2 linked regions of the Arabidopsis thaliana genome follow. The protein of the gene in region 2 interacts with the protein of the main gene of each other region in a pairwise test. Each region holds a gene or a part of one and is shown on either strand. Other genes may lie near its edges.

Evidence for each region. Proteins that work in one complex are often made in the same cells at the same time.
Region 1: the proteins of AT4G38690 (region 2) and AT3G08930 interact in a protein complementation assay, tested with the Arabidopsis thaliana proteins (one large-scale study listed by BioGRID).

Annotation. Positions count from the first base shown.
Region 1 is NC_003074.8:2,711,561-2,717,909, reverse strand, and holds AT3G08930 (LMBR1-like membrane protein), read right to left. Parts: upstream 4,599-6,349; 5' UTR 4,349-4,598; coding exon 3,999-4,348; intron 3,897-3,998; coding exon 3,811-3,896; intron 3,519-3,810; coding exon 3,403-3,518; intron 3,292-3,402; coding exon 3,181-3,291; intron 2,963-3,180; coding exon 2,864-2,962; intron 2,772-2,863; coding exon 2,649-2,771; intron 2,387-2,648; coding exon 2,324-2,386; intron 2,245-2,323; coding exon 2,180-2,244; intron 2,023-2,179; coding exon 1,913-2,022; intron 1,823-1,912; coding exon 1,708-1,822; intron 1,611-1,707; coding exon 1,545-1,610; intron 1,239-1,544; coding exon 1,128-1,238; intron 1,052-1,127; coding exon 985-1,051; intron 900-984; coding exon 852-899; 3' UTR 544-851; downstream 1-543. Other genes in the region: LHCB4.2 (light harvesting complex photosystem II), read right to left, coding at 1-193; AT3G08920 (Rhodanese/Cell cycle control phosphatase superfamily protein), read right to left, coding at 4,793-4,997, 5,197-5,636; AT3G08910 (DNAJ heat shock family protein), read left to right, coding at 6,099-6,263.
Region 2 is NC_003075.7:18,073,792-18,077,801, forward strand, and holds AT4G38690 (PLC-like phosphodiesterases superfamily protein), read right to left. Parts: upstream 2,167-4,010; 5' UTR 1,909-2,166; coding exon 952-1,908; 3' UTR 529-951; downstream 1-528. Other genes in the region: AT4G38700 (Disease resistance-responsive (dirigent-like protein) family protein), read right to left, coding at 2,792-3,364.

The sequences.
Region 1 (6,349 bases), on a different chromosome or scaffold from region 2:
GATATTCGGGTGATTTTGCGCCTGGGAACCATAGAGGCCGGTCTGAGATAACCGTCTTAGCCTTTTTGGGAGATGCTTTCTTGGTTCCGAATCCGAACCGGGCTGTGAACCGGCTTGAATTGGAGCTAATGTCGGAAACCACCCGGGTACCCATGATTGAAGAAGCAGCAGCGGCGGTTGAAGTGGCGGCCATCTCCGGCGTCGTTAGTTAGTTCTGTCGCGTTTGCGGTTTGTAACTTATCTGAAGCAAATGGCGTTTTTAAGTGGCGGTATGTGTGTGGGAGAGATCTCAGAGAACGAATCTTGACGGTTAGATGGAGAAACAAATCCATCTGACGGTAGGAAACAAAATCAGCCTTATCTATAAAAAGCTCGCGTTATCTATCCTGTCTGTCTTTTAGAGTTAGATGAGGCAAGCAAGCTGATTGGGCAAAAGAAGCTATTGACGAATCGCATAGCAACGCCACTTGTCACTTCAGCAGCACATGTCCACTTGTATAGTTGTATGCCTTGCATACTAAACAAATTCAAGAATATTGATAATCCGGTTAGGTTCGGTTACAATTGTCTCAAACCACAAAGGAAGTCTCTGTCTTGTAAAAATTCGAAGAAGGCTTCTCATTAAGAAAATATGATTACATGATCGCATCCGAGACAGTACAATAGACCAAGACAGGACAGCTAACTGTTGCGCAACCAAACAGCACACTCACAAGAAATTTAATAATACATTCAGGAAAATAAACCTCAGAAGCAGAGTCTCTAGATACTTCTGGAATCGATGATGATCCAGAAACAAGTAGAAACTTTGTCGACAGCACTCAATCAGATCCCCGTGAAAACGTTTTACATTAAGAAGAGAGCTGGAAACGGCCACTAGTTTTTTTTCTTCTCCATCCCTGCCAAAACACCAAAGACCATATGATTCTACAAATACTTAATACAGAAGAGAAAACCCGAGGAGTAACATCAACGAGGACTTACAAAGGCAATGTAATATAGGAAAGTCAGTCCAGCCAGGATAACAAACCCGATTTGGAACACATTGTACCTGAAATATAAAACCTCAATAAGACGCATCACGGATATAGCATATGACTGCTATATGTTATACCACTTCTACTTACTTGTAAAGGTACTTAATTCCTCTAAGGGACTGCAATGTGTGGCCAAATATCTCCTGGGCAGCAGTGGCTTGAGCGTAATATCCAAATGCAGTGGCACAAAATTGAATCACGCTGCATTTTAAATGAACCACATTACTCAGACTGTGAGGATTAACATGTAATTGTGAGGGTAGCAGCTGTATATTAAAAGTCTTGGTTTGACATCTAATAGAGTACAAAGGATACCCAAGTGCATGAGTAAAGTAACTATAAACTTCGATTCAGGCATTCGCCGGAAAGGAAATTAGTTTTAGTGATGGCATGAAAACACTGATAAGTTAATGTATGCACATAAACATGCTTGATCTAGATCCGTTTATCAGAGTGCACTTGATCCCAACAGATACAAAGGCAGAAGAAGAGACCAGAGAGACTTACCTGATTGAACAAAGAAGAATGAGGCCGACATTGAAGAGGAAAGAGTTCATTAGAGTAGCTCCCCATCTGAAATAAGTTGATATGGCCAATCAGCAATCAAGAGAAGGTAATGAATGACCTTGGAAAATAGCCAAATAATGTTGAAACCGGTTAGATGGATTACTTCATTGGATGAATGGTAATGAAGACCAGCTTCAAACCCAGCATCATTGCCCCAGCGATAACAGCAAGTAGAAGGTAGAAACAGAAGAAAGCAAAGGCAGCAGTGCCTAAAAGACCTGGAGATTTCCACACGTACCAGCATGGAGTCAGTTAGAAACAAAGAAGAAACCTTATACAGGATAACAAGGACAAAAGTATGAACTTACCCCAAACATCATCAAGCTTAATGAAAACCTCGTTAAGAAAAGGGGAGAGAGGAGGGTCGACGAGTAGATATATGATGATGTGTGCAACCCAAGCAATGGAAACGATCAATCTACAAAGACATTAAAAATTTGCCATTTAAAAAGACGCTTAGCTCGGGAGCTTAAGAGTGCAAACCTAAATATGCAAGAACTGTATGCATTATGCATGATTTATACAACATGTAACAAAAAAAAATGCAAAGGAGGTTTCTGCTTAGATGTACTAACCCTACGATTCCAAGAATAAACTTGGCCAAGTATCCGAGCACAGTGAAAGCCCATGCAGTTTCTGCCTGGAAAAAGGTACCAGGGAATAAAATAGTTGAACAAGAAAAATATTATAGTATAAGTTCTAAGATACACTCGTCTTACCTGCTCTCCTTGAGGATACATCTCTTCTAAGAGGTTCACATCTTCCTCCAATTGGAGCAACTCCTGCAGGGTTACCACATTCAATTATAGGATTGAGGGGACACAGCTTAAATCCACAACCAAGCAAAGAAAAGCTACCAATAAAGTCAATAACCAATTCTACTATCTCACTAGCTTTTCACTACAAGTTGTCATTCTCATAACTCCACAGACGACCAAAGCCTCTTTACACACAAGGGACCAGTATGAATAGGCAAACTTTCCAAGTTGCTACTTATGAAACAAAATTTAGATAAGATACTGAACCTTGAGATATATGAGGTACCTTTTCAACTGCTTTCACATTTTTCCGCCATTTCCTGCCCTTAGCACCACTTCTTTCTTCCTGATGAAGTCCATCAGCTGCTTTCTTTAGTTCTCTTGCCTTTTTACCTAGTTCGGTTGCCTCCTGTAATATATTTATGGAGTTAATCATGCAAGAGACAGAGGGATTGACTCAAGATCTAGAGAGATGCTTCCAGAGGAGAACAATAACCAGACCTTTATATATTGTGATCGAGTGATAACAGCCTTTGGTCGCCTGATGAATGCAGTGATAAGTCCTAATGGTAGACATGCAATACCAACACCACCAAATATCTAGAAATATTTGAGAGAACAATTAGTTATCAGATTTTTTTTACTGAAATGTATAAATCAAACATCTATTTACTTCAATGGATACAGAATTATATCTTGCCATGCATCTCATCTGTTGAGAGTTTGTGTTAGTCAATGAAGAATCAACAATATAAGACAGATTAAATCCTTTCAAAGCAAACAATGCACTTCTCAACATGAAAGAACAATGGTCATACCGTGAAAAGAACTGACCCAACAATTGTCGCAAGAGCAACAACATATTCTGGAAAAGTAGTACGCATAGTCCATGTTTTCTCAGATGTGGGATTAGCTGTAAATGCTGAGCACTGCATTGATAGCCAGAGACAGGAATATGTTAAATGCTGAAACTCTCTACGGCATAAATGACTCATGATATAAAAACTAATGCTAATGCTACATTCAAGAGGCAAACATACCTGGCGAGCAGTGTTACCTATGCATGGTTGAGTATTTGAAAACTGCCAGGAAGTAGGGAAAGTGGATGTGGCAGAAGCCAAATGCCTGACCGAGAAGTCCACCTTTCCAATGACACCTACATGATGAAGATGTTACCAATAATGTTAAGGTATTCCTAGCATATAAATGGATAAGATAGATATCTCAACCCAAGCCCTGATTGGGTAATTTAAAAGCCAAAATTAACATAAGAATGCAGTCAAATCATAGAGACCAACATCAGATTCATCCTTGCCACATGCTCACTAATGGATTCAATAACCACTCCAGCTAAACAAGTATAACCTCCAGACTATCGTCATTCGTCAATACAGAAAGACGCTGAATTTCAAGTCGACAAAAGAATTGAAAACAGAGGAACAACTAACCATATAAAATTCCAAGCACCAGAGCACAAACAACAGCCGTGGTAACTACCCAAATTAAGGCACTTTTTATCCTCTTTCCAAGAGTCCTGTGAAAAAACGAAAGAAAAAAAGCCCACAAATTGTCATCAGTATTCGATTAACTCAAAACTTACAACATAGAGATACTAAAATTTCATCAAGCTACGAACTTGTCCTGGTCGCCTTCATAGAAAAACATTGCGAAGGGGATGACAAAGAACACGAGAATAGCGTCCACGATATAAATAGCAAGCCAAAGATCCTTCATGGGCAAGGTGAGATTGCAAGCTCCATTGTATATAGCATGTCGACAAGCATGCCGATTGGCCACATCAGCCGGTAACATGAGAATCGAGATCATAGCAATAGAAAGGCCAAAAACAACGACGAATTTGGGGAAATAAGCCTGGTTTGCATCATCTGGATGCTGATAGTTGACGAGAAGATAGATGCTAGAGATGAATACGATGACGCAAACAACGATCGCGACAATCACGAGAGCGAGGTTGAAATCGCCCATCGTGTGCAATGTACAACGTCCCCAATTCGAGAGATTTCGATCCCGGAACGATTTGGAAGATGTAGCACCCAATTGCAAAGGCTAGGGTTTTCTAGGAGTTCAAATTTTGAAAATTGAATTTGGGGATTTTAGTAGATCTGGATTTCTTTCTTTTTTTCCCTCTCGAAAACCAGACGAGGGAAGAAGAAAGAGGACTGGGAGAGGATGAACATTCTTGTAAATTACGAAGCTACCCTCAACAATGTGCTCTCGTGCCTAATGGCTTTGGGTGTAAACGTAAATTGTTACTAGGTTTGGAGATTAGCTGTCCGAAGCAAATGATTCGGACAAAATATTTCAACTAATGAAAGACATCTGTAAGTAATAAACCAGTGACCAATTGTGTAAACCGGACACAATTTTAAAAACAAAAAATGTCTTCACACTTGGCTCCAAAAAACCAATTTAACGACTCTTCTGGCCAAAAGACGGTAACAGTACAAGTAGTTTGAGTAAATAAAATGATACACCTCCTATCGTGGCGAACCGAAGCTCTTCGGTCCCTTCGATCTCTGGAAAATCTCCCTCGGATACTCGGTTAAACCCTCCGGTTAACCACCCTAAGCTTTTGTACCCTTCTCCGTGGAGCTTTGATACAGCCGCCAACGACCTGAGAATGAGATTGAAAAGCAACACCATTTATAACAACCAAACCGAACCAAAGAGTTCAGTTTAATTTATACTATCCAAACCAAAAGATTCTATGATCAAATCGATTGATTAATAGTTTATTTAGTTTGATAAGTTTCTCTAAAATCTGGACTAAAACTGGCAATGATTAACCAAAATGCAACATATAAAGCTGGTACCTGAGTCCTTCACCGCACACGACGAGCACTTTACTCTCTTTGTCCGGGACAGCCTCCACAACACGGAGGGCGAATTCGTCATTGATCATGGTGAATCTCTGGCCCGTCCAAAGCCCAATATATCCCAAATGAATCCATTTCTTCAGCAACGTGATCGGCCCATTGTCTGGATCTTCCACGAACAGTGGCACGTGTAAGGAACCTTTCACGCGTGCCTTTTCTCTTTCCCAAGCCGGCCTCACGTCTAACAGTATATATCCCTCCGACGCCACAACCGCATTGGCTTCTTTGGGCTCCACCGCCCGTACCTTGCCGGAAAGTATCAGCTCTTTACCGGAAACGGCGGAGATCACTGGTAATCTGTATGATTGTCGGAGGCGTCGGTTTAGTACTACTGGTAGCTTGTGGATATGGTTTAGCTGAGGAAGAAGAACTGTCATCTTTAATTCTTTTGGATTTTCAGAGGAATTTAACCAATGATATTGTTCTTCAGATTTTTCATTTTAAGAACACCCCAAAACTTCTTACTTATTTCCATTTTAGGCCCTCAGATATTTCATAATTTGACTATCACCCTCGCTTAAAGTAAAGTAACAAACATATACTAGTGGGGTCAAATGTTAAATAATAAATATATAGGGCTACTAAGTGTAAATTTCCTCTCTTTGAAACGACACCGTGATTCTTAATTCTGATAAGGTTTGACTTTTGAGCTAGGTTTGCCGAACCAAAAACAGAACCGGTAAAGACCAAATAAAAGAACCGGTCGGGTATTTCTTGTATCTCGATAAATATTTCGAACCGGTACGGAATGATCCGCTAGAGTTTTTCCCATTGAAGAAGATCGAGTGAAATTCGAAGAGCGAATCAAAGAGGAAGAAGAAGAAGGAGGAGGTATAGCAATGGGGGTCGATTATTACAAGGTTCTTCAGGTGGATCGGAATGCGAAAGACGACGACTTGAAGAAAGCTTATCGCAAACTCGCCATGAAGTGGCATCCAGACAAGAACCCTAACAACAAAAAAGACGCCGAAGCCAAATTCAAGCAGATCTCCGAAGCTTACGATGTAAATTAACAAAATGCGTTTTCTCTTTTCAGAGAGATTCCCATCTTTTGCTTGAATTTGAGCAATTGTGTAGTTTGTCAATTCAC
Region 2 (4,010 bases):
CAAGTAATTAATTTATAAGAGAAATAGAAAATGAGTAAAATTTAAAAATTATTGAGAGATAGAAAATAGATCCCTTTAAATTTAGCTTATAATTCGAAAAATGTGCATGTTTTTATCTTAATCACTTACCGTGAGAAAGTATAGGAGTAAAATGATGTTATCGTAAAGTGCCAAACAACAAATCAAACTTGTGCTTAGCAAAAAAAAAAAAAAAAAAAAAACTGGTATCATTTGAGAACATGACTTAAAACGCAGCCGTTTAAATAAAAAAAGTTGGTTTCTCTGCATCCCATGTCTAGAGTCTAGAAGAGTGGTCTCGCTGCCGATCTCAGCAGGGAGAATAATTTGGCTCGGCTCAATCACTCTTGTGGATCAAATGCTCTTCTTCTTCTTCTTTTGTGTTTCAAGTCTTGAGAAGAAATCTAATCTCAAATTATTAGGATTTTGCACCATGTTTCCATCATCTCAGTTTATAGATATAATCAAATAATGAAATTATAGAGATGCATTGTGTCATTAGCTACTGATATGAATTCTAGCATAACTGATTCTATTATCTTTTTGTTCTTGAAGATCACAGTAGTGTGTAATAAAAAGGGGCATTGCTGCAGAAATATAGTCATCTCTCAGGTTAGCAGCTCTCTTTCACTTGTTAAAACTAGATTTTACCATCAACTGTATACTTCTTCCTTCTGTTTTGCCTGTCTATCAACTACAACATCTGCAAAAGTATCAGAAATTAATAGTAATGAAGAGTTTGGATATCTCGCAATTGTATCAGGATTCAAATAAGTTGTAATGAATTGGAATATACACTCGTAAATCACACACACATACAAATACACACTCACATGTTCTCTTATACACAAGCAACCCTAAAACACATCAACCATGTTCTGATTCTTTTCCTTCAAAATAGATACACAAAGTCTGTCTCCACACGCTCATTCCTCAGGCCTTACCTTCAGCTCTCGCAAAGGTGAGCCCAACGCAAGCATCAACAAATTCATTATCTATGAAATCAGTTGAGAATATCTGCAGTTTATCAGCACATCCTCTTTTTACACACTCTATGATGAATACCTTGGCGTAGCAATGTATCCTCTTAGTCACCGGTTTTACACACATTATTGGGTTATCGGGCTGCGGCGTCACTGTGTTCTCCACCCGGTAAAAGAATTTCCTTGAAGTAGCTGGTTGCTGCTGGCTCAAATGCTTGATGTTGCTCTCGAATTTGGTCGATGGAAGATCTGTATCGATCCAATTGTCTTTAAGGTAACCAGCGCTCCAAAGAGGATCACCATGCTTAGGCTGAGGCGATTTCCTCGGTTTCCAAACGCAGATCACTCTCTTGGGAAGCAGCTCAGCGACTGTCTTGGAGAACACGTGATCGTCCTGGTGAATCAGATGCTCTCCAAGCTGTTCCACAAGATACTTATCAAACTCCGGTGGGTCTTCGTGTCCAAACTCTGTTCTGATCTCAAGAATGACAATCTCCGACTCTGTTTCGGATAGAAACCGTTTGAGATCGGCCAAGACAACGTCGACACTATAAGTCTTGAGGATACCGTGGCATACACGGCGATCTTCTTGGACACGAATGTCAAGGACTCGAGTACCCGCCACGAGCTGGTTATAGATGGAGAGAGATTGGCACTTAGCAAAGGGACGAGACACGAATCGGATACCGATTTTGTTGGTGGCAGAGTCGTGCGTCCCAGGCCAGACGATCTTGTTGATGTGAAGCTTTTCAGGTCCAACGCCGGCCATCCAGTTTTTACGATCGGAAGGCATGTAATCACACCCCGGAAACTCGCAGCCGCACGATTTCTCGAGATCGGTGAGGGCTTTCTTCTCCGTGGAGATGGCTTTTCGCCGCTCGAGTTGTTTGGAAAGGTGAGAGCCCATTGCTGAGGATTAACCCTTTCCCTTTGCTCTCTCTTCTCTGATCACTATATTGAATTCTGTTCTCTCTTGTTTATAAAATGTTCCATGCCTTCTTTATCAATAAACCTTTACTCATAAGTCGTTATGATTGTTTTTTATTTACTTATTATTGGTTTGAAGAAGTTACGAATTATACGTTAATCTTTTAATAATTACGCTACTTTCTCAAAACACCGTTGACATATTCGCAAATTAGAAGTAACTTTCAACTTTTAACTTAACAAAAACCATAGAAAAAAAGTAGTAGCGTTTAATATGTAAGATTAACTGTTACAATTTTTATTGTGGGAACATTTTAGTGTTATAAATGTGAACTGATTGATTAGTTGAGATATATTGAAAGAGTGGTTGAGTTGTAATTGATGGGAGAGTGGGTTTACAATGTATGGTAGGTCCATTTTTGTTGTATAGCTGTCTTCACTGTTTGTTATTTGTCAATTTCTAATGCCTGGCTATTTTCCGACGTGAAAGATATCAATACAACGTGATTTTTATTTCTTGGAAGACACATATTCAAATTTTCTATGAAATAAAAGTCGTTCCTAAAATTTAAACAAGGCATCGATAATTAATATTTTGGATAAAATTCGGATAGGATCCGATGGAAAACCAATCATATACACTCACAGGCCCTATCATGTCTTTTGTAAGACTATCTCAAATATCACGATCCACACAACTAAGATATGTAAAAGAGATTACTAGTATAGATTTTGGGAATTGAGAAGAAAGATTGCAACATAATTAATCAATTTTGATCTCTTGATCATGCAAAATTCAGTTTTGATCTGAATAATTGATTTAGTTGGCCTTTTTATTGTTTTAATCGGAACATATGAATCGGTTAATAATGATAAACAGTAGCATCATATCGGAGAACAGCATCACCAGTCTTCATGTCAATCTTATTTGTTTTTACTTTGACAAAACCTCTCGCCATTCTGAATTTCCCACGGCCACCAACAATCGCGATTTCTCGCTCTCCGACCTCTTCCGCCACCGGATTCCTCGAGAAGATACTGATCGAGCTTCCATTAAACTTCCCTGCCGTGAAAGCCAAATCAGCGTACATGACGATCGTGAATTTGCTCAAGTCTTTGCACCCGGAGACATACATCCCTTGACCATTCCCGATCTCTTTCGAGTGTTTCTCCGGCCCGACGGTGAGCGGATCGTCTATCACAAACAGGCTTCCAAAACCTACCGGCGAAGCTGAGCCACCGGTTAGATTTGCATGTGCGATTCTAACGGCGGTAGGATTTTGGCCACTGAGAGTATCATGGAGATAAAATCTGACACGTGTCACTTTCTCCTCATTCAGTTTAGCCGGTTTGGTGTTGCCATAGTAGGATTCGTGACGCGCCATAACGGCCATGCTCAAACAGAGTGTGAAAAATATTATTAATGTGCTCTTCATAATTTATAAACTTAAGGAATTGATATGAAAGTTTACTATCCAAATGAATCTAGAACATATATATATATATATAGTTTGATCACTTGTAATTTTAGGAATGTTTACAGGAAAAAGATTTTCTCCTATAAAAAGAGGGTATATGTCATTATTTAGAAAATCTATTTGATATTTTTCTATATAACAAAAAGAAAATAGTAAATGCATATGATCCAGGTATTAACTTTGAAAATTTTCTGTCTGATATTGATGATATGTTCAAAATTGTAATAGTGTTTGACAACTTTGAAAACATGTAAAGAGATTTAATTATTTTAGAAAATTATGATTCTAAAAAGCTTTGAGATTCTGCCAAATAACTAGCATAAACTTTATTCGAGGTAAGGATATGTACCACGCGCACCTTAGGAGCGTTGAGCGCGTGTTATCAAAATGGGTAAGCTATATAGTCCAGCCAAAATGCCTATTTTTGATCAATTTTAATATATTCCCAGCTCTAAAGCGCGTGGTATTATCATATTCCCCGTCCCACTACATTCTGTGTGTTTGTACAGGTTGGATTTATTCCTCACCACATATATCTTAAGTGGACTGCACCGATCAAGAAGATTATAGAATACGGGCCAGATCTGATACTGGGTCGGGTTAA